Rhinolophus ferrumequinum: one gene and its partners. The main gene of each other region encodes a partner of the protein of the gene in region 2 in a complex. Links are inferred from orthologs where the notes say so. Each region holds a gene or a part of one and is shown on either strand. Other genes may lie near its edges.

Region 1 (7,710 bases), on a different chromosome or scaffold from region 2:
AAGAGGAAGTAGGAAGTGAGGCTGGGAACTCGATCCTGCCTTCTAAGATGTTTTGCTTTCCAGCTTTAATCCTCTGTATCTCTCTCACTCCAAATTTACAGCCAGGTCATAATGATAGACTAAATGAGATACTTTGGGGGACATGCCTAGTTGATAGAACATCATAAAGAAGTCTCTTGGTCATTTTTAGTTGAGAAAAAAATTGAGTCTTCCGTCCTCCCTTTCGTTTCTCTTCTAATCTGTGCCTATCTTCCTCACTCATTCAACAGATATTTACTAAGCATATTTGTCATGCAGGGTGGCCTGCGGGGCCTCTGGTCCCGCTACCCACATAAGAACGCAGGATATGGCGAGGCCAAAAAGGAACCCCCACGGAGCCATAGGTAGGGGAGTCATACCACTATATTCTCTCTGGCGGCCAGGCCAGACACACGCAGTAATAGCCACATGATCTGCAGTCCGCCATTCACTTCTCTGCCTGCCAACCAACCAACCTATCAACGCAGCCCCGCAGTTACATCAGTAGCCAATTGGCTAACCGGTTTCAGCTGATGGCCAACCAATCACAGTTGATGGTCATCCACTATCCAAGTAAGCACCTCCCCACACAAGGCCGAGAGCCTGGAAACTGCTCTCCGGGACTCTGTCCACACAATATTCTTCCACAAAATGATGGGGAAAGATCTCACTTTTAGATAAGGAAGATACCTTTCTAGAAAAATGCTTAGATATAACAATTGTCTCTACCATGAAGTTGTATAAAATTGTACATGTCAAGTGCCTGGTGCAGTGTTTGGTATACAGCAGACTTCTGGTAAAAGATAGCAGCTTTTATTTGCACTTTGTAAGTCCTATTATTTCTTTATTTCTTCTTGTCCTCCCTCTCCTCGCCTCCCCTTTACATTTCCCTCCTTCTACAAATAACCTTCCTTGCTTTTTACAATACATCTATTTCTTTATTCGTAGTTACAGATTATAAATGAGTCCAGAATTTCTTTTAATTCTATATTAAATTATTTTCAAAATTATTAAGCTGGTTTCACACTATATCCTTTAATGGTATGAGTACCTACTCCACACTTCATCTGCTCAGTGACCTTTGATTGGTAAAGATTTATTTATACTAGGGTCCCTTGTTTGTTTCTTTTCTTTTAAAAAAATTTTAGTAAAGCTCATCTGAAGTGAAAGACCCCCCAAATCCCTTCATGCAAGGATCTTCAGAAATCTCTGTGTGTCACACAGTGACCCTGCTGAGTTTTCTTGGGCTTTGAGGAAGGCTATGTCAGGGGAAAGTCCAGATAGGGACTCCACCGAAATTAGATTTCTTGAGTAAGTGTGCATTTACCTTTTTCAGAATTTACTAACAATAAGTCAGTTTTTCCATCCTTTAAATTTTCTTTCCCAGGAAGACACCCTATTGCTTTACAACTGTGGTCAAAGGTATGTTGATTCTGGAAAGAAACCTGCTTTCAGCTGCTGTTCTAGCATAAGGCGTAGTGGTATGGAAAAAAAAAAACGCAAGAAGATCAAGTGTGAACGACTCCTAGGTTAGCTAACCTGCACAGGTGAATTCTTGGCAATTTAAGTGGACTAGACAGCCATTTGTCTACATTTCCCCCTCACAGTAGCATTCTTCTAGCTCTTTCCCACAATCCACAGTAGGCAAAACTACTTAAGAAAGAGGAAGGCATCACACTGTCAGGTCATCTATCTCTAAGAGTGCTTCAGCAGTGAATCCCTAATCCTTCGAGTAGACTCCATGTCAGTCTGGTGCATCTTTCTTGTCTCTGGGGTATGTTTGCATTTTCCTATAAAATTTGATTTAATGTTTCTACAGGAAAACAAAAAAGACAAAACCAGCACCACAATTCACCAAAGGGAAATTATGATTTAAATTTTATCCAAAGTTCTTAAATATGGTATACCACTCTCTGGGCATGATGATTGTATTTTCCCTAAAGGAAGAAATGCCAGCAGTTTAGGTTTATCTTTCAAAGGAAGAGGAGAGGATAAAAAGAAATTGAACCACAGGAAAATGTCAGGTCATAGTATTTAAATTGTGTGCCATAATCATATTAGGGCAGAGCACATGGAATTCCTGATCTGTGCATGGCACTGAAGAAGGACCAGCAATTATCTGTGTGTGTGTGTGTGTGTGTGTGTGTGTGTGTGTGTGTGTGTTTGCTCTACCTTCCCACCCCATTTTGCTAATTCAATTGAGGAGCAAGAAGAGGTAATCCAGATACCCAGAACAGGAGGAGAAGGTCTGCAGCTGTGCTTAGAGGAACTGGTGTGAAGAGAGAGGCTCAGTCTGACTTGGAGTTTTGTGCTATTGCATGTGAATGCTCTGGAACTGCCCTAATCGACTGAAAATGAGCCGGCTACAGTCATATGGAACAGGTCTGTTTAGCCACATCTCTGGGTAGCATGGCAGATGGTAGACCGTCAATGGGTGGTATTGATTGGCTGGATTTGCCTTAGGGTAGCAAGACTATGGGTCCTTAAAAACCCGCTTCATCTTATTTTCCTTTATGCAGCTACGTTCAGTTGTGGTTTTCTTTTTTTACTCCCCACCCCCAGCCCCCAGTATCTCCTTTTCTCCCTTTTCAAATCAAAAACCTTCCTTGGTAATCAAAACAGAGAGGTTACCTTGAGATAAACACTCTTTAAATTATCACCAAGGCAAGAAAACTTGAGAATATTTTATTTACTAGGCTGATTACATTTTAATGTTTGAAGAAAGTGACATTTTTTAATTAGTGTTTAAGACATATGGTGAGTGTACAAATTAGCTTATTGCATACAACCAGAATTTGATGTGAGCAACTCCTCCTTCTCACTCCCCAGTTAAAAACTGTCACTTGAAACTTAATATATGCGAGGAGGTTAAATGGTATTAAGTGATTCAGCCTTGACTTAAAGATGAAGGAGACAGTCACTGTTGTGTGTGGCTAAATGTTGCTTGGATAGGCTGGAAAAATACTAATCTCAACATCCGTGTTTGCAAGAGGATGTGGAAATTCCAGGGCTTTAATTTTGTTCAGCCAAGAAAGCAAAATCCCAGGTATCTGTATGCATTGGTTTCTCTTTTAGATACGAGGAAACGTAGAATGGTGCTTGCATGCTCTGTGAGTAATAAAATTCTCCTTAAAAATCAGGCCTTGTAACAAAATAAGTGATGAGATTTATTTTTGTTCAGGTGGTTCTTAATCTTTTAGCATCCCCGTCCATCACTTAGGGCTTTCAGCTTGGGACCTTCTATTTATTCCTGGCAGAAGAGCAGATTAATTGGAATAGAATAATACAAAGGAGACACCAAGTTAGCTATACATCCAAAATAGTATACGAAAGAAATGTTCCACTTCAAAGCAGATCAGCACTAGGGGGAAAAGAACAGCACTGGGGAGAAATATGTGATTAGTTTACTCTTCTGGTTGTTTATAACTATTTGTATAATTGTGTTTTTAAAAGAGATGCTTAAGATTTGTTTTTGTATTTGTTTTTCAGTGTCTTTACTCTTAAGCGTTTGGTTATTTCCTATCATGAAAGACCATATCAAATAAACTTAATGTTTTGCTCAGAAGAAAAGTTACACTCTTGCCTCCATTTTGTATGTGCTTCGTCCATATGCATATTTTTGAATTGAGTTTTTATCACATGAGTCAATATTTCTCTGTTTTTGCTAAAGGAAAATATTCCTGTGGAGTTTTTGGTATCCCCCCTTACTCTGTGTTGGTTGGATTTTTCCTTGTTCATCCTTTGCTGAATGAAACAAAGCTTGTTTGTGTTTCATTCTGCACAGTTCTTATTATTATTATAGAATTGATGATGGTATTTTGTTTTGTTGTTTTGTTGCTATAAGTCAGGAGAAGAAATTTTATTTATTTATTTTGACAACATACAGAGAAAGAGACATGACAAGATGCCTGTTAGGATGCTGGCGTTTCTCATGTCACATCCTATACCCAAAAGCTATTCCAAGGGGGAACAAAAATCAGTCTTTTAAGATGGTTCATTTGAATCTGTGCACTCTACCCACCTGGTGGTTATATAGTGAACTGTTACTTTAAAGAGTAGTTTAAACACCAGCCATGTTTGGGGCAGGCTGCTCTTGCAAAGAGAGCAGTACATATAACAGGAGTCTACTGTGTGTGAGATAAGGGGAAAATTCAGCTCACTGACTAGAGGTTTTAATGTGCAAACTCTAGGGAAATAATATATTGACTGTTCCGTGGCGCGCAAGAAAATTGAAGAACCCTTTGCAGACGGAGTGCTTTGCAAAGGATTCTATCTGTTTCTCTTAAAACAAAATCTGTGGCAAGATGTTTGAAATCAGCAGGACGCTTAATGCTGCTTTGTTAAATAATGAGGTAATATTTTGTCACTTTTTTCTGGGCAGCATCTGTTTTTGTTTTTTTTTTCCTTTCTTTTCCTTCGCTTCATTTCTCCCCCCGTGTTTATGAAGGATTCTCTTTTTTTCTATTCCTTTTTTTTTTTTTTCCCTCATGGAAGTCAAGGAAATACAATTCACGCTTCCATTTCTGTTCCTTCCTTTCGGTGCTTTTGGAAAATTTGGTTGTCTTTTTTATTTGCAGTTTCAGCCGGCTGCTGTTTCCTAGCCCATTGTGCCCTGTAAGGCTTCTCCACTGCGTGGAGTAGGTAGTTATTAACGCTGAATTGGCTTCTGGTACAGTCCATCTGGACTCTGTGTGGGAAAGCTGGCTGCCGGCGACTGATGCTGAGATATCTGCAACCTTTGGGATGTGTGCATGGTGGCGAGGGGCTGACTGATATGAGATTACTTCTTTTAAGGGAAATTGTTATTAATGAGTCAAGAAACTGCTCATTTATGGTAAGAGGGATACAGCGGCACTGGCAGCCCCATAGCTCTGGGATATCATTTTTAGGTTGCCTTCGCTGCTTGAGTGAGACAAGTTTCTTTCTGTGGTGGTAGAGGATTGTGGCGGAAAAAAAAAAATCATGCATGACTGGGAGACTCGCCTGCCTGATTTTTGAGATAATATATTGAGAATCTGTTGCTTTACAAATGTCACACCACTGATGTAGCGGTCAGCCCCTCACTCTGAAAGATGAATGGTACTATTGGAAATGCAATAATAAGGTTGACTTTTCCCAACAATAGGATTCTGCCTTTGTCTTTAGAGAAAAGGCCTCTGAGGACATTTGTGCATTTGTCTGAGGATTCTGTTGAAAGACTTTAGAGTGGAGGTTTTGGGAGAAGTGATCAATATACAAAGTACATGGATTTTTTTAGCCTAGCAAAACCAGCTAATTATTTATACTGTAATATGCAGTTCCTATTTTGGAAAAGTGGCCAGAGTATCTTTTGGTATACCTGTTAATTTATGTCTTACCGAGTGGGCTGAGGTTAGTATGGATAGGAGAAAAGAATTTAAAAAAATTGTGACTTTTATAACCTCCAGAGAAATACAAATTAAATACAAAGTGAAAATCCAAGCCAGCTGTTTTTATTTGTGTTTGTCAGCATTGTGTTCATGTTTACTTTTCACAATATTTTGATGTTGGTGAAATCACATTCAGAGTTTCTGTTGTTGATTTTGAGCACCTGTACCTGCCCTGTGTGCGTATGTTAAGCTCTTGAGCACACTTAACCTGGGAATTCATCCTTAGTACACAGTTCAATAGATATTATAGTACTGTTGTGACTCACAGGACTCTATACATTTACTAAAGAAATTATTTTAAAAGTTTACTTAATTTAGTATTGTTCCACTTAAAGGAATTTATATAGTCTTAATATTTCCACTTTTATATTTCCTGTGTTTTTGTTTCTAATATCTGAGTTTATTTGTATTCAAATCTAATAGTTCATATAGTGTACCTCACACATATTGTTTTGTGGTGTATCTGTATTTTAAAAAGTGTGTGTACATATGTGTATGTATGTGTCCATGCTTGTAGAGCATAGTTTTAATTTTTAGAAATGCAAAAGTTATTTTCTTTTCTAATAATTTTTCACAGACCCATTTATTCTTGGACTTTGAAGCCCAGAGTGTAGCATGGTTTTTGGCCTGTATTTCTACTTTGCTTAGTCCCATCTCACTGTCAACTCCAGCCAAAGATTAAAGATTATGTTGAATTATGTCTTTAGTAATATTTGTTACCTCTGTGTATTTATTGAGGAACAAATTGATTAAGTTATGAATTATATAAATAGTGATAAGTTAGCTTTTTGGATAGAAGTAAAGCACAAACGCCTCAGGTAAGCCACTTAAAAAACTGAAACCAGAACAAAAAACTGTATAATCAAAGACTTGGTAGAGTAGAGGTTATGAAATGTATAGCATACACAGACTGTATACATCACCACACACTTGCTAAATGTCTCCATGCAAGTCTTTTAGGAGGCCAAAGAAGAAAGACATCGTTTGAAGGACAGAAGCAAAATCACGTGTTCAGTTAAGCAAGATGAGCACTCTGCACTGGTTATGAAATGAGGCTGTGTCAAAAGCATGTTATACCTTTCTCTAGAGCAGTAGGGAAAGCAAAGAGAGAATGTGTTTTGGTGGATTTTTAAAAATTCAGATCATGCCACTATCCAAGTTGAGAAATAAGTTCATTTAAATAAATCATTCATCATTCTCTGTTTTGAAAAGCTTAGACAGACGACAGAAAGGTAGAGGCTGACAGCTGCCCTCCTCCTCCCCCCACCAGCTTTTTTCTTTTTTGTTTATTAGGAAATAGTTTTCTGAAGCAAACTTGTATGAACCTAGTTCCCGGAGCAAGCACAATCTCAAACTTGCTTTCTTTTGAAACACTGTCCATGTTAGCTGCAGGACGAGCATAACTTACTAAAAATCAGCAATATTGGGAAATAATAAAGTTAAAATGTGGATGTATTAGCACATTAAAGTGCTTTTGTTGTATCTTTAAGCCTAGAGGCAGATCATTAAATATGCATTTCGCTAGAAAGCAACCATCGAGAAAGATGAGGTGGTTGAAAATATTCTAGTTGGGAAAAGCCCTCTGTCAGAGGGCTGGGGTGGTGCAGCCCTCTGGACAGGGAAAACGGAGGACACTCCCACTGTTAAGATTTGCAAGCCACCAGTGACCTGCAGTTGTTATAGTACTTTTGAGCTGGGAGGAGGGAAGAGGTAAAAATACAAGTATGGCTGTTGTTGCTTCAGCCTGGCCTTAATTACCAGACACAAGAAGCAGTTCAGAAATCTGGTCTCTGTTGTTGTAGAGGTCACCAAATCATTAACATCGTCAATCTGGCAGTAGCTAATTTAAATAGCACCTGATGTTGCAACGCCTCCCTTCGTTTCCCCAGCCAATCAGATCTTGGCTTTGGCTGACAGATGGTCCCATAAATGGATGTAAAAAGGGGAAGCTTCGAGCCAATTTCAGCAAGGCTCTGTTCAGTTGTTCTTATCTACATCCTAGAATCGGGGGTTTCAGCTCAGTGCTCCTTTTCTTTCTTTTTTTTTTTCTCTCTCCCCCTCATCCCCCCAAAATAGTTGATTTACTTTACAACCATCCACACTGTGTTTTGTGGATCTTTAAAAATATATAATAGTACTCATTTAAAAATATATATTCCGAAACCTTGCAAATTTTAAGAGAAGAGTCGAAGCTCTGCGAGACCCAATATTTGCCAATAAGAATGGTTATGGTAGGTATGACTAGATTTATAATCTGTTGTTTGTGTTGCTGGAGGGAAGAAAA
Region 2 (7,179 bases):
TAAAAAGAAATCATGTAGGATACAGAATGGAAACGAAGCCTTTCTCCTACCCTGGCTCAAGTTCACGTCCCTGTTAGCAATTGGCAGTTGCATGTGACTCCTTCCAGATATAATCTGTGCAAGTACACCAAAACCATATAGGAATGTATATAGATAGCTATAGCAACACAATATATCTTTATAGAAATAATCACCCATGGCGTCCCTCCTCCCTTTTTAACTGTTTCCATTATTCTGCACTTTGCTTTCTTTATATATTGGTACCTCTTGGAGATCACTCTATAACCATACACATAGATCAGCCTCATTTTCTCTGACAGTCCACTGTATTGTTTTTAACCAGTCCCATATAGTTTGACAGCTGGGTTATTTCCTGTCTCTTTCTACTACAAGCCGTACTGCAATGAATATTATTGTACTAGGTCTTTGTCACAGGTGGGAGTTTAACAGGTCAAGATACGCATACATACAGGCACAGGTTTTTAATCACCCTTCATGAGTGATTAGCTATGTGTGGGAAACACTGATCCAGATGCTATCCTTAGGATCATTCCTTACCAAACATTTCTACCACCCTTCCATTGCCCCCCACCAAACTGTATTTCTGGAGTCTTACCCAGGTTTCTTCCCACCCTGATTCTCAGAGCTTTGGGGAGAATTGGCAGAAAGAGAGGGTGAAGTAGTGTACTGAAGGGGTTCGCACATTTTGCTTGGCAGTGGAGAGAAAGACCAGTAGGAGGCTGGGACTCTCCCTTAGATGCTAAGATAACTAGACCCGGCTTTCTCAGCCCCTGCCCTATTGACTTTTTAGCCAGATAATCCTTTGTCATGGGGAGGGGGGATCTCAGCTGCATCCCTGGCCAGTGTCCACTAGATGCTAGCAGCCCCTCTTACCCACTTGTGACAAGGCCACATATATGTCTCTTGGGGGCAAAATCTCCCTTGAGAAAGCAAGTGCTCCAGACAATTCACTGGTGGTAAATTACTCACTGAACATTTACTAAATATCCAGCGTCTGGGTCCTGAGGGTTTATGATCTGAGTGGGTAAACGACCACAGGAAGATGCCAACTTCTCTGTCCTGTGGAGACAGCAACAGCCACCTGAAGGATCTTGTTCACATTCTCCCTCTGGTAATTCATTCCTCTTTCCTTCCCTCCTTTCTTTCTACCTCCCATTACCCGGCGAACACAGTCTCGTTGTAAAACTTTCAAATAATACATTATTCTCATTGCTCCCAACCTAGGGGATTCCCTAGGAGGAATGACTATTGTTTTAAATTTAAAACCCTTCCTCTGCACTTAGATACCTATTTTAACATGCAGAAATCAGTTTTGTTTTTTTGGTTTCGTTTTTACTAATATGAATGGGAATTCACTGTATGTTTTGTTGAACTTGATTTTTTGTCAATTAACAATCCAGTTAACAATCTGTATAGTTTGTACCTCATTCTTTTTTCAACTGCTGCATAGTGTTCTGTATTACGTGCATATCACCAGTTAATCAGTTTGCAAATTGATGAGCAATTAACGTTTTCAGTATTTAAATATTCTAACAAAGCTGACAGTACTGTAATGAACGCCCTGGTACATGCCTCTTTGTAAAAAAAATGTGGCTATCAACCAAGAAATAGGACATACATAATTTTAATAGACTGCCAAATAGCCTTACAAAAAGCTGTAATCACTTACAATTTCCTCCAAATGTAATTAAGAATAGCTTTGACCCCTCCCCCACCGCAGGCCACCTGGGTTAAATTACTAATCTGTGAATTTAAAGTTTCTCCAATCTGCTCTGATTAGCGTTTCAATTTGGAGAGTCATCTTGTAAAATGCAAATTTCTTAGTCCATCTTTAAGAGACCTTTCAGGAGCTTTTTTCCACTGCTCTGAGAATAAAGTTCAAGTTCCTTAGCATGGCTAACACGATCCTTAAGTTTCCTTCCTTCAGAAAACCTTTTGCAGCTTCCTGGTCTGGACTGAGTTCTCTCCGGTGTGTTCAGTCCCACACACCTGTTCCCCGGTTTTGGGAGCTACCGGCCCAGCGCAGCGCCCGGTCTGTTGAATGGGTGACAGCGAGCAGGGACAGCGTCTTGCTCACCCCTGATCGCAGCCCTTGGATCTCAATAAATGCTGAAAGAGCGCGGCCGCTGCGGGAGTGGGGTCCGGGGAGGACGGGCGGGTAGAGGGACGCTTTCCCCGCGTTTCCGGGGCCAACGAGGAGAATAGGGATGAGCCCAGATGCCACCAGGCGGCTGCCCACACCCCTTCTTTCCCTACAAAGACGCTCCACGTGCTTCATTTCCAAATTTCTCAGCAAAACTTAACGGGAACCCCTCCCGCAGGGTCACATTCCTAGAATAAGAACTGACCGAGGCGTGTCTATGTATTTCCATATAAAATGCTCATGGTGACCAACAGAGGGCCCAAGAAAACACTGAGTGAGACGTGGACAGGACCAGGCTGGAGCGTCACTCAGCCCCCGAACTGTTTCGGGAAATCTTCAGGGTGTCCCTATAGGAGTTTGACAAGTTACCTTTTAAAGATGGGAACAACTTCAAGAAATAAGCCTCCACGCCCACAGCGATTAGAAAACTGAATGACAATGGTGGTGACGCACAGGATGTTGCATCGAGGCCCAAACTGATAGGACAACTTACAAACTACTGTCCCTCGGCAAAAACTAAAAGGGAAAACCTCAGTGAACATCCACCAGCCAACCTTCCGGTCGACCTGCAGCAGCAGCATTTGCCCAGAACCGCAGGGCAGAAATTTGTGTTCTCCAACTCAACAGTTTCACGTGCTACTTTTTACAAGATCTTAGGAACACAACAGGAGTTACTTTCTCCTTTGGCTTTCCCTTAACAGTTGCCCAACGATAGTGCTGACTAACGGTGAGAGCCAGCAAATGCCCTTAAGCATGGAAATAAAGTTAGCAGAAACAAACAAACAACGGGAAACTTTACCACTTGGTTTCCCTCGTATCAAACTGTGCAGAAAAGGCGGGACAGAGGCCTCAGCGGCCGAACCCAACCAGCGAGGGAACGCCAAGAGGAGAGCGGGGACCAGGAGAGCCTCAGACCCGCACCAGAGGGCACCGCGGCCCTGGGGCTCCGTCTCCTTGGTGCAGTCCAACCCTCGCGTCAATCAGCTCCTTCTCGCGTTGCGATTGGTCGGGGGCCTCCTTGGCCTCCCTGGCGCCCACCTCCTAGCTGCTTGGGGTTTACTTCCCCAAAGTACACGGGCCCCACCTTGTGGAGCAACCGCTCCTGCATTGGAAAACGGATCTCCGCCCAGGGGAAGACGTTTAAACGAATAGGAGCGGCCCCATGCATTTATTGGCTACTCTGGGTATCAGTTAAAGAACTTCCCACCCCCTTTTCCACTGTACCTTGAAGTAATTGGTCTCTCTCTGTGCCAATCTGTTACTAGGGAAACGAGATCCTCATAGTCTCATAGGCATGAGTCAAAGCCAATCAAGAGCCACGCCTTCATCCTGAGTCAGTGCCCAATTGCTGCTCGAGGAGCCCAGAGGACGCAGTCGGGATTGGTCATCAGCCTGCCCGACCTGGCCGCAACAAGTTAGGCTGAATGGCATATATATAGACCGGCGACGGAGCACGCGTGTGTGCGGACGCAGTTGCGTGAGGGGCTTTTGCCTTGTGTCGTTCTGTGGAGCAAAGCTTGTTCCTCCCCGGCTCAGCCGCGCAGGTACGCCGGGGTGTGGGCGGGGCGGGGCGGCCCTGGGTCGAGGACGAGCTGGGGCTGTTGTGAGAGGGAGAGGTCCGAGCGGCGCTCGCGCGAGGCGCGCCCTCGCCCTCCCCCCCCAACGGACGCAGGCGGCCGCACGGGCGCGCGGAGGCTCTCCGCCCCCCGGCGGGCGCGCGTGGCCGTGTCCGCCGCGTGCGCGTGCCGCGCCCAACGGCCACGTGGGGCGAGAGCGAGCTGCGGCCGCCGCCCCGGGCCCCAGGGCGATCTCGGGGGCCTGGGGCCCCGCGCGGCCGGTTGGCCAGCCTTTCCCGCTCGCTCCCCCACCCACGGGCCAGTTGAGTTTTTCCTCCCCGGCGTGGAGCTTTAGCTTGACCCGGACGAAAGAAGGTTTTTATGGGGGGGGGAGGGGGCCACACGAAAGTGCGATAAGAATTTTCGACCGGGGAAGTAGAAGTGTGGTTCCAGGGTTTTGCAGGCAGTGAAAGGGGGTGCAGCGAGTGCATGGGTAATGAATGATGATAATAACTCACATTTTTCGAAGCCCTTATTGTGTGCCAGGCATTGTGCTGGGCAACTTGTGTGCCTCTCATTTACTCCCACGACGACCCTGCAAGGTAGGTTCCCTCAGTTTACAGCGGACTCAGAGGCCCAGAGGTGGAGTGACATGGTCACAGGCAGACGGACGGTAAGGGGCAGGTATTTGTTTTAACCCAGGCCACCTGACTCCTAGTCCCCGAGCCTATTTTAGTCTTTGTTCCAGCGCCCTGTGCGGCCCTAGGGCACTTTGGCCCCCAGAGTACTCGTCCCAGGGGACAACATCAGCCTCTAAAGGCCAACTGCTGCGAAGACTGCAGTGGCATTTGTACTTGAGCCAGTTCATGGGCTTCCAGGGAGACGAGTTGGACGTGCGATTAAGACAAAGGAAAAGAAATGGTTTGGGCTTCCTTTGTACGTGTCTTCGCGTAGCTAGCTGACGGATGTGCTGCCCTAGAAGCTTCTGGATAAAGGACAGAATAAAAGGAATAAGTGCCAGTGAACACGGGCAGTGTTCCTCGTCCGATGTGCGACTCACAGCACGCTGATGGGAAATTCCCACCAGCAGGAAGTTAGGCGCTGCTGGTACTAGACCTTGAATCAGTTGTCTTCGTTTTTCCATCGGAGCCGACTTTTGAGAAAGCCCTTGGAGAACCTAGTTTAACTTCCTTGTTTTGTAGTTGAAGAAAATGAGGTTTCAGAGCAATGCGTTTCAGATCTCAGCAGCGTGTGTAGGTTAATGTTTGAAATTGGAATGGAAAGGCTAGTGCTCAGTTACAGTATAGAGCGGAGCTTATGGGAGGTGAATTACAGGTGGGTGATGGAGATGTGTTGGGAATCTTACCTTTCTGGCAGTGGGGTTGGTCTGTGGATGAATGCCTGTCTACGTTCAGTTCATTTATCTAGCATTTATTTACTCCTAGGCTCCTGTGTATGAGTGTATGGAAACGTGGAAGACACCTCCAAAGACTTGGGTTTATCTTTTTCTAGTAGAGTTACGTTTTAGATTTTTAAAAGCCAGTATACTCTTTGGCTTAATGAAAGAACAAAAAATGTTGCCGTGTTGCAGGCCCAGGTCATTACTTGACGTGACACATGTCTCTACTTGAGATAAAACTACAATGAAAGTTTTGGGACAAACTCTTCTGAATTAATTTTGATTGGAATGGCTTTCCACCTTTTAAAAAAAGGCATCTGTTTTGTTTGTACAAACGCTTTTTCGGATAGCTCTTGATTTACAGTCAGAGAACACAAAATTTAAAAACTGAGGAACCTTAATATGTGTTTCCATTTACTTAATAGTTTCCATGTTTAACAGAAAGTAACAAGAAAGGATTGAAATATTGTATAGACAAGTTCTTTACCTATAATAGGTGACAATGCTGTAAGAATATAACATTGTTTCACTTGAACTTGCCTTCCTGTAGCAATTTCAGTTACCTGCACTTAGACACCCCTTATCTATCGAATTAGAATTTTTAGTTATCAAATGTGAAAACATAATGATTACATTGAAACTCTTAACTTTGAGTCCAGCTAATTTTATTACTGCTTGAGGTAAAATGTATCACTGAAATTATCTTGTGCATTAATTGTGGGAAATTTTTATTTTGCCTTTCAAATGTTTCTTAAAAAAACCCAAAAACCCAAAAACTGTTCTTGGCCTCAAGCAAATACATGGTTATCAATTGAACAGGAATATGAAAACTGGTAGTTCACAAATTGGTAGCCCAGCTGATCTCTTCTTGTGCTTTCATTTATTAAGAACAAATGAATTGAAGCAAATTGTGATAATAAAAGACTTGGGTGCCTCCCTGCTCCCCAGCCAAGTTAGAGGTTACTTTTGTTGTTAAATCCTTTCAATCTAAGCTTTTGTACCTCTTCCAACTGGTAGAAAAGTAGGCAGTTCTTTGTTCTTTATTTAACTCACATTCACTTTGCTGTTCTCAGCTGACAGTCTGCTAGGGAACATCAGGAGATTGGTAATGTTTGTTGGTGACCTACTTTGCAGCAGTTTTTTGTAATTTACATTTTTTTTTTACTTGTTTTAGGGCTTTGCATAGAAAGTAAAAGGCAGAGATTAGTTTTAAATTATTATAGGTTTGTGAATTTTATGTGGTTCTTAGGAGGATGGATGGGGCAATGTTTAATTAAATGATGAAATTTAATACAAAGCCAGAATTTGTGATCTAAACCAGTTTTTAATTTTTTTTTGCCAGTTTAATAAAATTACCCATGTGATCTTCAACATTTTGCAGTTAGACTGGTTTTTAAAAAATAACATTTCAGAATGTAAATATGCATTGTATATTCATTTAATTGAACATAATGCTTTGGACAAAACTTGTTGACTTTACTGAGGGAGATAATTGTCAAAGTAGGTAGGTTAAAAAAACTGCTTTTTTTCCCACCCTCTGGCTAGTCAGTTGTTAACATCTAGTGGCAAAACCTTTAGTGCAAAGCAACACTGTCCTTCCAGCCATGGAGTTAAATTTAGATTCAGCAACTGTAATCTCACTTGTGGTTGCTGTTCACACTGTAACAGTTAACTAGATTTATGGTTTTACATCTCAATCAGCTTTCTGTTTACTCAAAAAAATTTTTTATTTTTAAGTACTCTTGGACACCCTGCCTCACCTTGGTTGGGAAAGCTAAATTGGAAGCCAGGTGAGAGATGGTGAAGAATGGGCTTTATAAAGTAGAAAGTAGATAATAAATATCTCTCATAGGCTGTGGCCTTAGTAAATAAGGTCTTTAGGTGACTACATGGGATGGATTTCCTCTTCTGTCCACGGCCCACGCGTCATATTTTATAATATTGCTTAGGTGTTAGCTTGTGTGCTATATTTCAGGTATTTAGTAAAAAGTAAATGTTAGAGATGGTTCAGAGGAAGAAAACTGGCTTTCTGGTTGGGACACACTTCTGTTTTGTAGGGA
Region 3 (7,059 bases), on a different chromosome or scaffold from region 2:
TGAGGGCCATCTAATAACTGAGCCAGCACCTTTCCACGTGAGGCCGAGAGCCTGGAAACTGCTCTCTGGGACTCTGTCCCCACAACTATTCTGGACATATTGTACCTCTACAAAATAGGAAGCGTATTTCTAAGCATAATGTTATAATTAAGGTGGACATAAGAAAATATAACTGGAAAAGAATGTTACCTCAGCTGATAACCACAATGTAAAAGGGAAAGAGTCAGTATGGACCAATAATAATAATAATCCCACAGTTATGTAAATATAGGCAGTATTGACGAAACATTTGTGCCAGGCATATTATTGCTTCTGATGATACAGAGATGCAAACAAAACAGCTGTTTTTTTCCCCTTGAAAAGCTCAGTCTGATGGTGGCTCATAAACACATAAATTATGACATTACCATAAAAAAGGGAGCACTGGAAAAATTATGATAGAAATGTTTACTACTGAGTTGTAAAATAACTGAAAAACAAGAGTCTTAGCTGTGTGAACAGTGTACGTAGTTCACATATAGGCCAGGTTTTTGCCACTCTGATGCAGAAAGGCAGTTCATGTAATTTAGGTGAAAGTTCCCTTCTTTTGCTACAAATAAGCTTGGTATTAGCTTATTGGGTGATTCAAGTTGAAGCAGCTGAACTGTTTTGCCAAAATGATCCGGATAAGCAGTTCAATTATTCACTTCACTTGACTGTGGAGACTTCAGATTGCTGTTGTCTAATGAATTAAAAAAGTGAATGTCAGCTTGGGGGAGATTTGTGTTATTAAAATATATTAATATTGGGTATAACTTTAACACCAAGGTTTTTGGAGAAAGTGTTTTCTGTTTATAGACATATCCTGCTCTCTCACTGGCTTGCTGGGGAAACTATAATTTTTCTATTTCTTCAGTAATATAATAACCCCAAGTACTACAGGGCTTTGGATTAGAAAAAAAAGGTTTAAAAAAGACAGTCAAGTATTAAAAATTTACATAAATACAGCTTCAGTCCCCTTTTTGTCAGGTAGGAAATAGACAAATTTGGTTTGCTGGGACTGTGGCATTAGGCTGGGCAAAACGTTGCTTTGTCTTCAATCTAGTGGTGTTACTGGACTTGCTGACCTGAACAAACAATTACAAGAATGTCAGAACAGCAAGGGAATGGAATTGGGATGACGTAGGAGGTGACAGCATGATAGGTATGTATGTTTACTAAATATTTCTGGTTCAGCTGGCTTCCTACCAGGCATCTGATTAGAATAGCATCTCTCCAGTTGATGGGGGTCATGTGACTCTTCCTGGCCAATGAGGAGTAAGCACACATGACACAAGCTGACCTGTGTGTAGTATTTGACTATTCCAGGTACTCTGGAGTTTTTTTCCTTATGGCATAGTAATCGGCAACACGAGGTATGGTTTCTCCATCAACCTGAATGTACTGAGAGACCACTATGACCAGAGCCCTCTGCTGAACCATGACGGATATGTATCATTTGTTTTAAGCTAGGGATTGGCAAACTTCTGTAAAGAATGAGACAGTATTTTAGGTTTTGCACATCATTCTGTTAACTACTCAATTCTGCTCTCCTGTGGCACGAAAATGGCCATAATATGTACATGAATGGATGTGCCTGTATCCCAAAAAAACTTACAAAAACGGAGGGCACTTGGCCCAGGGACTAGTTTGCAAATCTAAGTCACAGAGCTTTCAAGATTGTTACTGCAGCATAACCTAGCCTATCTTGATATACTGTGAGCTGTGAGATGGACCCCCAAATGAGATTCTTGGTTATCTGTGTTGTCATCGATCCTGCTCTGCTCCCTCTCAACAATTTACTTTCTTGAAACGTCCAACTTAGCTGACCATGAATCTCTATGCTTTGTAACTGCCACTGCATAATGTGCCAAGGAAAGGCAGAAGAGGCCTTTCCTTCTCTCTCACACCTTATCATAAGCCCTCTTCGGTTCAAACCTGTATCATCAGAAGCTTCCAAGTCATTGGTTCCCACACTTCAGCATGCATCAGAATCCCTGGCTGGCTTAACACACAGATTGCTGGGCTACACAACACCCCCAGTTTGATTTTGTAGGTGGGGAGAGAATTTGCGAGCTAGAGAATTTCACGTCTGATCTTAAAGACACTGGTCAAGTTCTAAGGAATGAGTGATTTCCCTCCTCCTTCCCCCCCCCAACTTCAGGGTACATATAAATCAACTGAGGAACTTATTAAAATGCAGATTCAGTAGGTCTGGGGTGCGGCCTGAGATTTTGATAGTGATAACAGGCTGAGTACACCAAAAGTTTCGAGGAGCTAAAGGATTCTGACCGTCCTTTTTAGCTTCGAGGTTTGCATAGGGTTCAGTATAGTGCTAAGCACAGTTCAGGTGCTTAAATCTTGAATAATCTTAGGTCAACTTTGACTTCTCTCACACCTAACATACAACTGGTTAGCAAATTCTGTTGGTTCTACTGTCACAACATATAAAGTATCCAGCTACCTGTCACCACCTTTACGGTAACACCCTGACGTTGGCCACCACTATCTCTGGGCTGTATTATTTCAACAGCCTCCAAATTGGCCTCCCAGGCCTGCTGTTGCTCCACCCTACATCTCACCTTTGATACACACTTACTATAAATTCTTTATACAGTAGCAAGAGGATATTTTAAAACACAGGTTCATCACAGGTTACTCCTCTGCTTAAAACTATGCATGCAGTGATTCCCCATTTCACTCAGCAAATTACAATGGCCTATCAGGCTTGACAAGACTTGGCCCTCTTTTATGTCTTTGATGTCTCCTAGTACTCTGTTCTAGCCACTGTTGCCTCCTTTCTGTTCCTTGAACTCACCAAGAACACTCTCCTCTCAGATCCTGGCACTTGGTGGTCCCTCTACCTGGAAAATTCTTCCTCACTTCTTTCAGTCTTAGCTCAAGTGTCACTCGGTAAGGTTTTTCCTGACCACCCTGTTTTATTGTCTCTACCACTTCACTATCTGACATGTATTTACTTCTCTCCACGTGGAATGTAAAATCCATGAAGATATTTTGTTCACAATCCCTAGCACTAAAGAGTTTTTTTAACAGAGTAAGGTGCTCAATAAATATTTAAATGAATTGATAACAGATTTTGCAGCTAACTGAAATATCTTGAGGCTACAGTTGTTTCTTTAGGTTCCCTCAAGACACACTGTTGCCAGCTAGCATTACTCATTTTATTCTCCAAGGAACAGTGGGTTTGGTAGAATCCTCTTCTAAATTCCTTTTTCATGGAATTTAAGTTATAAATCGGTCATTTACTTTTGTCATACATTATATTACTGAATTTCCACTGATTATATTCCTCTTTATACATTTCCTTCCAGCACTTGGCGTCTTATTTTGTGTTCATTGTCCACACCCACAACCACCCTGCCCCTGGGTTAATTACAAGGCTGGAATAATTCTCTTGGAGGAAAAAAAATGTTTTGTATTTCACTCAACATTTTCTTAAAAGTTTTAGGTAAATCTAAAAGAAAAACTTCTCATTCGAAATACTCAGGCCTTTTGGATAAATATCTTCTTAAGGCAGTTGACGATTATTTTTAAGGAGTCTGGAGTTTTAAGTCTTTTATAAAGCCACCCATCTTGCTCATTTCCAACGCGTTCTACAGCGAACTCCTAGGTTACTGGGTGATTGTTTTGTGGGGGAAGTTGTCTTTTTTCAAAAGACCTTTTGGGATGTGGGGGCTTGCTTGCTCTGCATACAGAAGAAATTCTAAGAGCTGGGATTGCACCACCCACACCACGCACCCCTTGCTTGCAGAAACCTTTGCCCCTCCTTCTACACAAGGCAGTCTTCAGCTTCAGATCCAGCTGTTTGACACCTATTGTCCCCGTTTGGACGCCAAGCAATTTTGCCTGAAGGACCCTAGCTTCGACTTCGTTGAAAACTCCAGGCACCGCTCAGGCAGCTTCCCCGGGGCTGTTCCGACCTGCGCCGAGCGGCAGCGCCCAACGGCGGGGGCTTGGGCAAGGTGGGTAGGAGGCCGAGAGAGCCCTTTCCCACAGGCGTTCGCGCCGGGCAGCCCGAGAAGCCGCGAAGGTCCCCGCCCGCTGCTTCCTCCACCCCCTCTGCCCCAGAGTGCTGGCTGGCTAAGTCCCTCCCGCTCCCGGCTCTCCGCCTCACTAGCAGCGGCTCTCGGTGCAGCGGGGACAGGGCGAAGCGGCCTGCGCCCACGGAACGTACCGCCACCCTTGCCCCCTCAGTCGCCCACTCGGGATCTCCAGCAGCCTCCGCGTGCGCACGGTGAGCGCCACCCCGGACCGAGGCGCTGAACGGGAAGAGGGCTGCTGCCCCGAGAGTCCTTTACCTCCGGATCGGCTGGACCTTTGCGAGGGGCTTGCTCCTCAAGTCTCTCCCCATCCCACCCCGTCCCCTGCGGTCATTTCCAGTGCCCTTCTCCACCCTCCTCTGCCTCTTAAGCCCCGACCTCTCTCTTTCCTCCCTTCCCTGGAAGGCGACAGTACCTACAGGCCCTCCCTGGTGGAAACCGTTGCACTGGCCGTTGGCCGGCGCAGCGAAGCCCCGCCCCCGGCGCGAGCCTCGGTGCCCTGGGGCGGGTAGGCCAAACCGGTGGCCCTCGCGGGGGAGGGGCGGGGCGGGGGGCGGCGCGAGGCCGGGCCGGGCGCCCCGCTGGCGGGTCGCGAGCGCGCCGGCCGTCCCTTCCTGTCCTCGCGGCGCGCGCGGCCTCACCCCCACCCCCACCCGCTCGCTCAGGCTCCCGCCCGCTGCGCGTTTTGTCCCGCGTCTCGCTCCGTCCGCCGCCTGACTCGCCGCTCTTGTCCTTTCTCCCGCTTTTTTCTTCTCTCCCCTTACGGTCTAAAGATGCCCTCGGCCACCAGCCACAGCGGAAGCGGCAGCAAGTCGTCCGGACCGCCACCCCCGTCGGGTTCCTCCGGGAGTGAGGTGGCGGCGGGGGCCGGGGCCGCTGCGCCGGCATCTCAGCACCCCGCAACCGGCACCGGCGCTGTCCAGACTGAGGCCATGAAGCAGATTCTCGGGGTGATCGACAAGAAACTTCGGAACCTGGAGAAGAAAAAGGTGCCAGGAGTTGGCGGGGAAGGAAGGGTTTGCTGTTATGACACTGCCTGTAGCCTTCACTGTTTCGGCCTCCGGCGCTTCCCCTCCCCCCCCACGTTCGGTGTCCACAGTAAACCGAGCTTCGTGCCCAGAAAACGGGCTCCTAGGGGAGGTGCTTGTCACCTGACCCGGACGCGGCGCTGCCCCCCCCCCCCCCCGGTCCTCTTGATTACTGTCCCCCTGCTGTGGGCCAGGCCTTTTGGCCTTTTGGAGTGGGATGTGTAAGGGTGGGGACCTGTCCTGTCGCCAGATTTCAGTGTGATGCCTTCTCTCCGTTACCAAGGCACGAGTTCTTTGACTCGGGCCAGCGGGGAGAAACGAGGTCCTGCTGTAGGGGCTCAGGGCTCAACGGGGTGCCTCGTGGAGCTGGGGCGGCCTACGTCCTCTAGCCGTGGGGTTTGTCCCCTCCGTTACCGTGCACTTGAGGCCTGTTCAGTGCCTCTCTCCTCTCCCTTGGGAAAGAAATGTGTTTAGGATCTTAAACTAGAATTGCTTCTCTATAAAGCGCCATTCGAGTCGGTCTTCGATTTGCTCCCCGCATTTGATGGTCTCCCCTCCGTTTCCTTCTTTGTTTCAATTGTCTAGCTGTCTTCTGAGCCTCACGCTCACCTCGATCCCAAGAAGGTTTTCTTCAGCGGCTTTTTGTCCCCTGAGGACCAAAAGACGGATGGGAGGGAGACTGCACCGATTGAGATTCACTGGGGGGTGGGTCTGGGTTAGACCGAGGGCGATCGCTGGGTTTCTGGGCACATGGAGAGAGCGACTAACATGGCGGCGGCTGCGGGGAGAGGGAAGCGCTTTACAGGAGCTGCATTGTGAGCACAAAGCGAAAGCAGAGGGGGAGGGCAGATAGCAGGCAGCCGCCAGGACTGGCTTCCCTCGCCCCCCTCCAAAAAAAAAATCAAAAAAAAAAAATCGAGCCACACCCACAATATTTTGGATTAAATATTTAGCCATTCTAGGTCACCTCATGAGGTTTGTCTTCAAGTTGGCCTTTTGTTTTATGCTTTCAGCCCAGGACAGTGTATCAACTCTGTTTTCGAGGGACACGTGTGTATGTGTGTGTATGTATGTATGTGTAGAAAAAGGGTCTTGGCTGAGCAATTCAACCTTCAGTAAGATTGGAGGTGGAAAAGGAGAAACAAATCACAAATGAGGTAATTGTATCAGCGACTATTATGCAAACTTTTGTCTCTTACCTTAAAAAGAAAAATAATAACTTTCATTTGATAACTTCTGCTTGTCCGCTGCTAGTAAAACATACTACATCTTGAATTTTGGAGGAAGTCATTTAAAAATATTTCCATCTAATAGTATTACTTAAGATTTTGGGGTGGTAACTGTTTGGCTAAAATTTTGGGCTGTGGGAAATAACTTGAAGGAAACGGTTGATGTTTAGATCTTAATTATTTGAATTGCTCATTTAATGATTAATTTTACATTTTTTTGGAGTTTTTTTTAGATTGGATGCTTCTCTGTCTCATCTGCTTCTGTATTGGGAATTTTACTTGAATTTCCTGGACTTTATTTGAAATTGAGAGACGCTCTCTGTGGATTTCTACCTTTTTTCTGATCCTTTATTTTGATAAACAAGTGTGGTTTATTATAAGTGATTTAAATAATAGATGTATCAGTATCAACAAGGCAACAAAAGTATTTTAATTGTGGAGTAGCTACATTCACATATGTAATAGAATAAATTTAGCCAACACCACTATCTCCTGAGTCTGCCATCTAATTTAGTTTTTACTACTCTATATGAAATTGAAAGTTAAGTATCATTTAAAAAAAATCTAATGCAATAAACCTGTCAATCTTGTTGATGCTTGAATGGTTTAACTTTCAGAATTCCTAGGAAATCTGTTTTCTCCTAGGATAGGAATCAGAAGATAAATATTAATGATGTAACATTTTAGGTATAGACATTTTAATTAGACATTTATATTTTAATA
Region 4 (7,874 bases), on a different chromosome or scaffold from region 2:
TCTATAGATACAATAGTTCCAAGTTAAACATCTCAAGCTAAACCACAGAACAAATAGATTTAGATTTTTCCTCCTGTTAAACTTTCTAGATCCTCTTAACTGCCTCCAAAAGGCACAGCCACCCACCTCCACCTTCCCACTCAGAAAAGCCAAGGACTGTTCTGAAATGCAGCAAGTTTCCAGTTGAAATGAGGGGAGTAGGGGAGTGAGAGAATCAAAGATTTACTGGGGGCTGCAACGTGAGAGGAAAGTGCACTGTCAACACATTTAAAGTCAGATTTCAGAAAGCAGAAATACTCTGCCCTTATACTTCCCAGCCAGAGTTCAATGAAAAGATTTGAAATCCACCATGAATTAGATTTGGGGATATGACAGAGGTACCCCACTTTGCTGAAGTGAGGATAGTACTGGCACACGGAGACAGAGAGAGACACACAAACACACACACACACACACACACACACACACACACACACACACACACACACACACACACCCACTCATCTAGGAAGTTCTAGACCCTCCAAAGAGCCCCAGCTCACAGCCTGAACACAAAGCTCTCACCCCAGATGGTCCCCTTGTAACAATGGACTGAAAGGGGGTGGGGGCTCAGAAAGGATAGTACAGCCAAAGCATATTCTTTGCAAAATCCAGTTGGGAGGGGAGGATGTGGGATATGAGGGGCTGGGGGTAGGAGTCTGAAAATACTAGTGTCCTTGCCTGTTGCAGAAATATTATGTAAATAAAACACAAGCATAAGAGAATTCTTTTGGGAGCAGGAACTCATTCTACCTCCCCAAGGGAGTCAAAGGGGACCCCCCACATCCACTTAAAAATTATGATAAGGGAAGGGTGGGAAGAAACAGAAAATCAGAAAATGAGGCCTGCTAGGAAGTTGCAAAAATGTCCATGAGTCTAAACTCTTGGAGACTTTTAGCTTCCCCACAAAAATGGCCCCTCACACTTCAATCAAACTCCACAAGGCTTCTCCCCTATTTTTTCCCAGTTTACTTTTCCAAGTAAGATTTCTTAGCCCACCCCAGGCCCAGCTTATTTTTTTTTACAAGCTGTAAACCACCCATTACAAGATCTTAGCCAATCTTCCCTCCCTGCCCCCAACATCCGGAGTTGGGGGTGGGAAGGCCAGAAATGGGTTTCTTCCACTGGAGACACTATGGACCCCAGGACACAGCCTCTTAGGGCCCCCAGGCTGTCCCCCTCCCCAGAGAAGAGCTCTTTCCTACCTTTGTTTTTTGGGGACGGAGTGTTCAATCTCTAGGCGTTTTCCTTGCAGTTCTACTTTCCCTAAAGATTAAAAAGGGGGGGGGCAATATAAGAGCTTGAACAGGGGTGGGGAGCGGGAAAAGGAAGGAGAAAGACATTAGGGTAATTCAGGAGTTACTGGGATTTGAGACCTTCCTAGGAATCCAGGCAGTGGATTTCGCAGCCGGATGCGAAAAGGTCGCTCTGAGAATGGTGGAGTCTGTAAACTCATTATTGTGTTTTCTTAATTTTTATTTTGTTCTGTTGCCTCACTGGGGCTAATTGGGTCATGGATCGCTCTGGGAGCTGGATTTGGGAGGAGTGTGAGGACGTCTGTGTGGGCGGGTTGCCTACACGGCTCCCAGATGTGGGGAGAAGGGCCGAGAAAGGGCCCCTGTTTCTCCCAAAGTGTGTTGGGTGTGGGGGTACTAAACGAAACTATTTTTCCGTCAAGCCAAAGAAGAGGGCTTCGGGCGACCTGGCGGTCACCTGTCGGGCCGGTCGGGAGGTGAAGCCCTGGGGAGCGAAGCCCGGACCGCTGGGAGGGTCCCTGGCGGCCGCGGCGCGCGCCTCCCCGCCCAGCCTCGCGTCTCGGGAAGCAGCATGGCGACCCGCCGCCGCTGCCACCGCGCCACCCGCTCACGCCCCACTTTCAAATCAAAATGGCTCAACCTACAGGGCCTGGGCGGGAAGCGGGACCCCCTCTCTCAAGTCGGGCCCGAAGGCTGCAGTCCCCACGGAAACCCGGGAGATAGCAAATGAAGTGGGGCCCCCTTCCCTGCCTGGAAAGGCCTAAGGCGAAGGAAGGGTAGCCAGGGGTGCTCATGGGGTGGAGAAGGCGTCCAGGCGCGGATGGCGAGGGGCCGACGTGAAAATAACGCCCAGACGGGGGTCGCCTCAGTGGCGCCCCCCCATTACTGCCACTGGGGCTCCCGCCCCTTCGGGAGGGGTCACGGGACGACCCTACTAAAGCCTCCAGAGACTGGGAGGAAGGGGTGAGGAAACGCCGAATATTTCCACGGCGCGGTAGGGGTGAGGGAGTGGGGGTAGGCATGAAAGAGTGGGGGTAGGGATGGAGAGTGGGGTAGGGTGGGGGCGTCGAAGGAGGTGGGTGATGGGTGGGTCCTGAAGCCAAGCCCCGCAGGCCGGTGGGAGAGCACAGTTGGCGGGCACGGAAAAGAGAAGCGCAGGTCTCCGTTGTTCGGGGATTTCGTCGTGGTTTCTCGGGGAGGTGGGAGCACTCTTACCCGAGAAAGTTTCGATGGCCTTCATCGCCCAGTGCTCGTCGGGGCAGTCCACGAAAGCATAGCCGGATTTGACCAAGAACTGGCCGCTGTAGGAGATCTTGTGCTCCGCAAACACTTTCTCCAAGTCGGCGGGGGTCACGCTCTCGTTTAGGTTGCCGATGTAAAGCTTGTTCATGGTGGCGGGTTCGGGGCGGGACGCGGTCCCTAGCAAGGCCGAGCGAGAGGGCGGGGGCGGGCGCGGGCGGAGAGCCTCCTAGGCCAAGAGGCGGGCGGGCGGCCGGCGGCGACAGCCGCAAACTTTCTTTGCACCCCACCCCTGAAGTTGTCCGGAGCCGGGGGCGCGAAGGGCGGCCAGAGGGCGCGCAGAGGTCGCGGAGGAGTTCGAGAGGCCCGGGAGAAGTGCCCGCGGCGCGCTGGGAGGTGGACGACGCGGCACTGCTTCTTTCCTTCTGTCCGAAACCCCTCTGAGCGGGCTGGTGTGTCACGTTTCTCCGCGGCCGCCCTGGCGCCGCCTCTAAATAAAATCGACTTGAAAAAAAAAAAAAATGGAGCGGAAAAAAAAAAAAAGGCGAAGCCACGTGGTGAAAGCCCCCACCCACCCTGCAGGGGAAGACCCCCGACGCCTCCGGAACCTTAGGCCCTCCAGCCCGGCCCAGCCCACCAATCTCCCGCCGGAGGTGGGGGGCACTCAACTCACCCCCTGAGTCAACTGGGCGGCGGGTGGGGGGCTGCGTTCCCGAAGCTTCACTTGCCCCCTCCCCCTTTGCATGAATCTGGCCCCTAGGGAGGCGCCCCGCCCCCACTCATCCTCATACCCCAGCCCTGGCTGGGGGAGGGTGGTCGGGCCCAGAATCTCCCACCTCTTTATGGATAAAATGTACGGTTATTTTTTTATTCCTGTGGTGGGTGGGGGGGTTTGCCCACCCTACCATGGTTAACTGCTAGCGACTGACAGGCGGGGGACGGCGGAGATAGACAAAGAGAAGCCGAGGACTCTGGGGTCTTCAGGAGGGGGTCGCGCGAACCAGCGATTTAGAAAGAAAGGCGCCTTTTCCTGGATTTTTAAGTGGGGGGGGGGGTCTCGGCCTTCCCTGCCCCAGCCCTGGGAGACTCCCTCGCCTCCGGGAACCCAGGACCGAGGGTCCCTGAAAGCGCGGGACCGGGAGGCTGGGAACACGGGGGATCGCGGTTGGGAACGAGGGATCCACAGGAAATCAGGTTTCGGGATTCCCACGGGCGAAAGAAATTAACACCCAAGGTTCCACTGCTGAACGAAAAGGTTTTGGGGTCCTGGGGGAACCGGTGGCTCCGGCCCAGGAAGACCCCGCGAGAGGGAAGGGTGGAGAGAAGGACAAGGAGTGGTAGCGTGAGCAGACCCGGGCGAACCGAAGGGATAGGTCTCAGCGAGGGAGTGACCGGGTGGAGATCCGAATGGTCCCCTTCTCCCGCCCCGACGCGGGGACGGACAGGTGGAGTCCCCTCCGCCCGCTCCACCCAGGACAGCGACAGCAGCTTTCCCCGCGTTGGGTTGGGGTCTCGGAACTTTGTTTGGGGCGCAGGATCGGAATCCAGGCGGGAAGGCGGGAGAGGAGCCAAGAGCAGGGGGCCGAGCGCTAAGCCCCGCCCCCGTCCCCAGGTCAGACCCGCGGGGGGAGGGGGTAGTTTCCGCTCGGCGCTAGGGAAGCGAGGGGCGGGAGCTTAGAGGAGGGGGCGGTGGTCCGCCCCCCGCCTGTTCCTGGGGAGGGGAAGCGGATCCGCCCAGGTCCCTTCCCTCGCCTTTGACCAACTCGTTCCGGATCCTCCGGCCCGGAGAGCCCGAGGGACGAACCCGACTGGGCAAGGGGCGACACGTGGGCGGTCGCACCCCGTCTCGGCGGTGGGGGAGGGGGCAGTTCGCCGCGCGTTTCGGAGTCCAGGATACGCGGCAGAGAACGGGATCTGCGTTCCACGCGCCACCGGGATCCTGGGCCGGGGGACCAGCCAGGCCGACGAGTTTCCAGCGCCTGGGGCTGGGACGGCGCCAGGGGGTGTCGGAGAGCGCGACCCGGGGACCCTGGAGCCCCTTTGGCCAGGGAACCAGGGAAAGAGGGGGTGGACCCTCAGTATTGCCAGAAGCTCCCTGAACTAGGCGGAAGCTCGGGTTTTCCTCCGGGTTCTGCGGGAGGGAGAAAGCTTTCTGTCGGGGGCACGCGAGCTGCGAGGGCAGGTGAGAAAGGGGGTCACTCTCCCTTTCCCGGTCCCCGACCCCATTGTCTCAGTCGCCTGCGGCCCGAGCCGACTCTGCAACACGTGTTGGCTGCACCGATATGAATGCCTTGGGTTTTTTTCTTATTTGTTTGCAGAGTCAGTGAGTTGACTCCGACTTGGGAGCACCGCTCTTCTGCCAGACGATTCTATACCGTTCGAAAAGTCGGGAGTTAAAAGACGACATGCCGCACCTTTGTCCCCCTCCCGGTTTTCCCCGCGCGCTGCAAAGAAATGGGTTTGGGCGTAGGGGCGGGGGAGGGCTTCCGACTCGGTGTCTCCGTCTCCACCACCTTCAAAACCGACCCTCCAAATCCGCGTTTTGTTCTAGCCAGCCACGTGTTTGTCGCATTTTTGTTTGCGATCTTTTTCTTTCCATGGGGCAACAGAAATTAAAATACTACATGCTATTAGTTGCTAAGAGGAAAAAGTCTATCCAAGAAGGTGGGCGACATCTGTATCCCACCCCCCACTCCGACCCTCCCCTGTTTCTATGAGCTCTTGACCATAAACATAATTTTAAATCCAACGAGCTGGAATCGGTACCTGCCACATAGTAGGCATTCAATAAACATTTTGTAAATGAAAACGAGCTAATACAAACTGCAGAGCAAATTGAATTCAGAGGAAAATTAAGAGTCAAGGGGAAAAAATTATCTTGGCCAGAATGTGTGGGTCTGTTGCCTGGGGACTTTTCTTGGTGTTGTGTGTGGACTTTTGAAAGGGCTAAAAGATAGTCTCAGAAAGGCTGTTGTATTCCTTGGCCTTTCCCTAAATAGGAGCCCCACTCTCCTTCAATCTTTTCTGCTATATTGGGGAACAAGAAAGATTGTACTAGGCAGGGCGTTCCATTCCCAGAAACTTGACGTGCTATTTCCTTCATTTAATTTAAATCTTAAGGAATTAATAGAAGCACCTCTCAGGTTTTCTCCCTGGGGGACATAACCACTACTCTATCTCTTCATTCCTAAAACAAAAACATGTTACACCGCACAAAAATCTACATCCAGACCTCTAAAATGCAGTCCACCTTTGCCTATCTTAGAATCAAAGGGAAACAAAATTTTTTAAAGTAATAATTGAATTCAGTTCACTTTTAGGTTGATTTTTTTTCCATTTAAAAATATGTAAGCCTAAATGTGAACTGGAATTAGTTTATAAAAATGACTGTGGAGAAGAAAATGTAAATGTATAAAATTAAAATTTTACCAACCATTGCTAAATTGAAACTGATGCGTTTTAAAAATCAGCTGTTTCACTGAATTCTAATCCACCCCCCCTCCCCCACCAAGGGCTTCTGTGTATAGTCAGAGGCTGCAAGAACACAAGAGAGAGGAGACAGCTGGGGTGAGATGCAGACCTTTTCAGCCCCCAAATCAGTTTTGTCTCAGTGACCTGGCTATTTTAGGCTGGAGTTGGGGGGACTGAGTGATGGTGATTGGTGCTTCAACTCTCCCTTCTGAGTGAGCCCAGCACTAAAATTAACCTGAGAGAAGGGTTATTTTTCTCAAGACTCACATTCCTAGGTTAGGGATAGGAATGAGCAGACTTAGGACCCCATGATTAATCATCCTTTTTTTTTAATTACGGATAACTAATAAACATTGCATTTGTTTTCAATTTTTTTTTTTCTACACAGCTTCTTTGGGAAAAATTAATCAGTTAAATTTAGTTTGTAAGAGTTAAAAATACAGCTGCAGGATACATTGTTTTCTTTAATAATAATTTATGTAATTAATATTATTATCAATTATTAATTATTATGCTATACTTCTTGTTCTCTTTCATTTTTCCTGGAGACTTGTTTGGTCTAGTTGCAGAATTGAATTTTCCTCTGAATTCAGAAACCCTGAACCTTGACTCCATTTTAAAGATGGGATTCTGATCCATTTTCCTTCAATGTGAATATACAAACACACGCAGAGAGACAAAAACATTTAAGAGAATGAAATAACATTTTTAATTGGAAATATAAAGTGGAAAAAATCAACAATTCCACCAGTCATAAAAATTCACTTTTATTTTTTAAATGTTTCTTTCCAATATTTGTCGATTTGTAATATTTTCTATTTTGTCTACTTATTTTTATATCTTAATTTTTTCCTTGCTGTTGTACCATAAGCATTTTCCCATGCTGCCTCAAAGTTTTCATAACTATCATTTTTAACAAACATGTAGCATTCATTTCAGGAGGTGTAAGTTAATCATTGTTATTTTAAAATATATGTTACATCAAATTTTTTACTTTTCTGAGTGGAACTGAATAGATTTGGGGGGCATATAACTTTTTCCTTTTAGATTAGCTCCTATGGATAAATCCCCAGAATATATATTGCATTTCAAATCTAACATTTATCAATGACTTTCTATTTTAAAAGTTTAGCCTGTTTTACAAAAGAAAGGACACAAAACAATTGGTAAGCAGTTAGAAGGGAAATACATTAAAATTGAATTTTTTCTATTTTTCTAATGAACCATAATTTTTAAATGAAATTATAGTTTCTATAAAATATACAAAAATAAAAATTATCATTTCCTGAGAACTGTTCTGACTTCAAAGTTTTAAGAGGAATTTGTTTTTTGTTTGCTTGGTTTTTATTTTGTTGTTTGCTTGTTTTTTTCATTGTTGTTGCCCTGGGATATTTTGTTTCTTCCTGCAACTTGAAGTTTTAATGTGGTTCTTTTAGATGACTATAAATTTTGAAAAACTGTAAAATAGTCAAAATTTAAAAGCACATGTAGCATTTTCTCCTGTCAAATAAATAAGGATAATTATGTGCCTAAGATAACCCATAAAATATAAGAAAATTATAAGCAGCAGAAAAGGACAACTTCCTCTTTCAAAGTATCATTCAAAAGTGTTTAATGTTTAAAATCTTACAAAGAAATGTGTGTATTCCAGAAATAGAAGAGGTTCAAGGAGAAAAAAGAACTTTAAGAACAATCATTTGTTTTTCTATGGGTCACACAGTGTGTGTGACAAAACTGCTCAATTTTTTTGTTTTGGCTTAGGTTTGCAAGGTAGAAATTTTTAGATAATAAAAGGAGTAGTTTATTTTATAAACTTTAAAAAAATGGATGTTTCCAAATTAAGTTTGTTAGTAAATTAAACTACACCAC

The links.
Region 1: G3BP1 (region 2) and ELAVL4 share a complex: the UniProt entries of both Homo sapiens proteins name them as parts of the TAU mRNP complex. The link is inferred for Rhinolophus ferrumequinum from reciprocal best matches to the Homo sapiens genes G3BP1 and ELAVL4.
Region 3: the proteins of G3BP1 (region 2) and CAPRIN1 are in contact, whole or in part, in a crystal structure (PDB 8TH7), measured with the Homo sapiens proteins. The link is inferred for Rhinolophus ferrumequinum from reciprocal best matches to the Homo sapiens genes G3BP1 and CAPRIN1. Residues at the interface, in NP_005745.1 of Homo sapiens: Glu4, Lys5, Pro6, Ser7, Leu10, Val11, Glu14, Phe15, Arg17, Gln18, Thr21, Leu22, Met29, His31, Arg32, Phe33, Tyr34, Gly35, Lys36, Gln58, Lys59, His62, Leu114, Glu117, Asn122, Lys123, Phe124, Tyr125; in NP_005889.3 of Homo sapiens: Met363, Gln365, Met366, Gln367, Gly368, Pro369, Tyr370, Asn371, Phe372, Ile373, Gln374, Asp375, Ser376, Met377, Leu378.
Region 4: G3BP1 (region 2) and IGF2BP1 share a complex: the UniProt entries of both Homo sapiens proteins name them as parts of the TAU mRNP complex. The link is inferred for Rhinolophus ferrumequinum from reciprocal best matches to the Homo sapiens genes G3BP1 and IGF2BP1.

The regions. Positions count from the first base shown.
Region 1 is NC_046292.1:35,737,895-35,745,604, forward strand, and holds the start of ELAVL4 (ELAV-like protein 4), read left to right. Parts: upstream 1-4,706; 5' UTR 4,707-4,735; coding exon 4,736-4,852; intron 4,853-7,363; exon of another isoform or gene 7,364-7,648; coding exon of another isoform or gene 7,649-7,657; intron 7,658-7,710. UniProt on the Homo sapiens protein: RNA-binding protein that is involved in the post-transcriptional regulation of mRNAs. Plays a role in the regulation of mRNA stability, alternative splicing and translation.
Region 2 is NC_046307.1:23,502,075-23,509,253, forward strand, and holds the start of G3BP1 (ras GTPase-activating protein-binding protein 1), read left to right. Parts: upstream 1-4,178; 5' UTR 4,179-4,220; coding exon 4,221-4,322; intron 4,323-7,179. UniProt on the Homo sapiens protein: Protein involved in various processes, such as stress granule formation and innate immunity. Plays an essential role in stress granule formation.
Region 3 is NC_046294.1:23,801,684-23,808,742, reverse strand, and holds the start of CAPRIN1 (caprin-1), read left to right. Parts: upstream 1-4,055; 5' UTR 4,056-4,273; intron 4,274-4,852; coding exon 4,853-5,068; intron 5,069-7,059. UniProt on the Homo sapiens protein: mRNA-binding protein that acts as a regulator of mRNAs transport, translation and/or stability, and which is involved in neurogenesis, synaptic plasticity in neurons and cell proliferation and migration in multiple cell types.
Region 4 is NC_046304.1:34,183,722-34,191,595, forward strand, and holds the start of IGF2BP1 (insulin-like growth factor 2 mRNA-binding protein 1), read right to left. Parts: upstream 3,002-7,874; 5' UTR 2,686-3,001; coding exon 2,511-2,685; intron 1,306-2,510; coding exon 1,245-1,305; intron 1-1,244. UniProt on the Homo sapiens protein: RNA-binding factor that recruits target transcripts to cytoplasmic protein-RNA complexes (mRNPs). This transcript 'caging' into mRNPs allows mRNA transport and transient storage.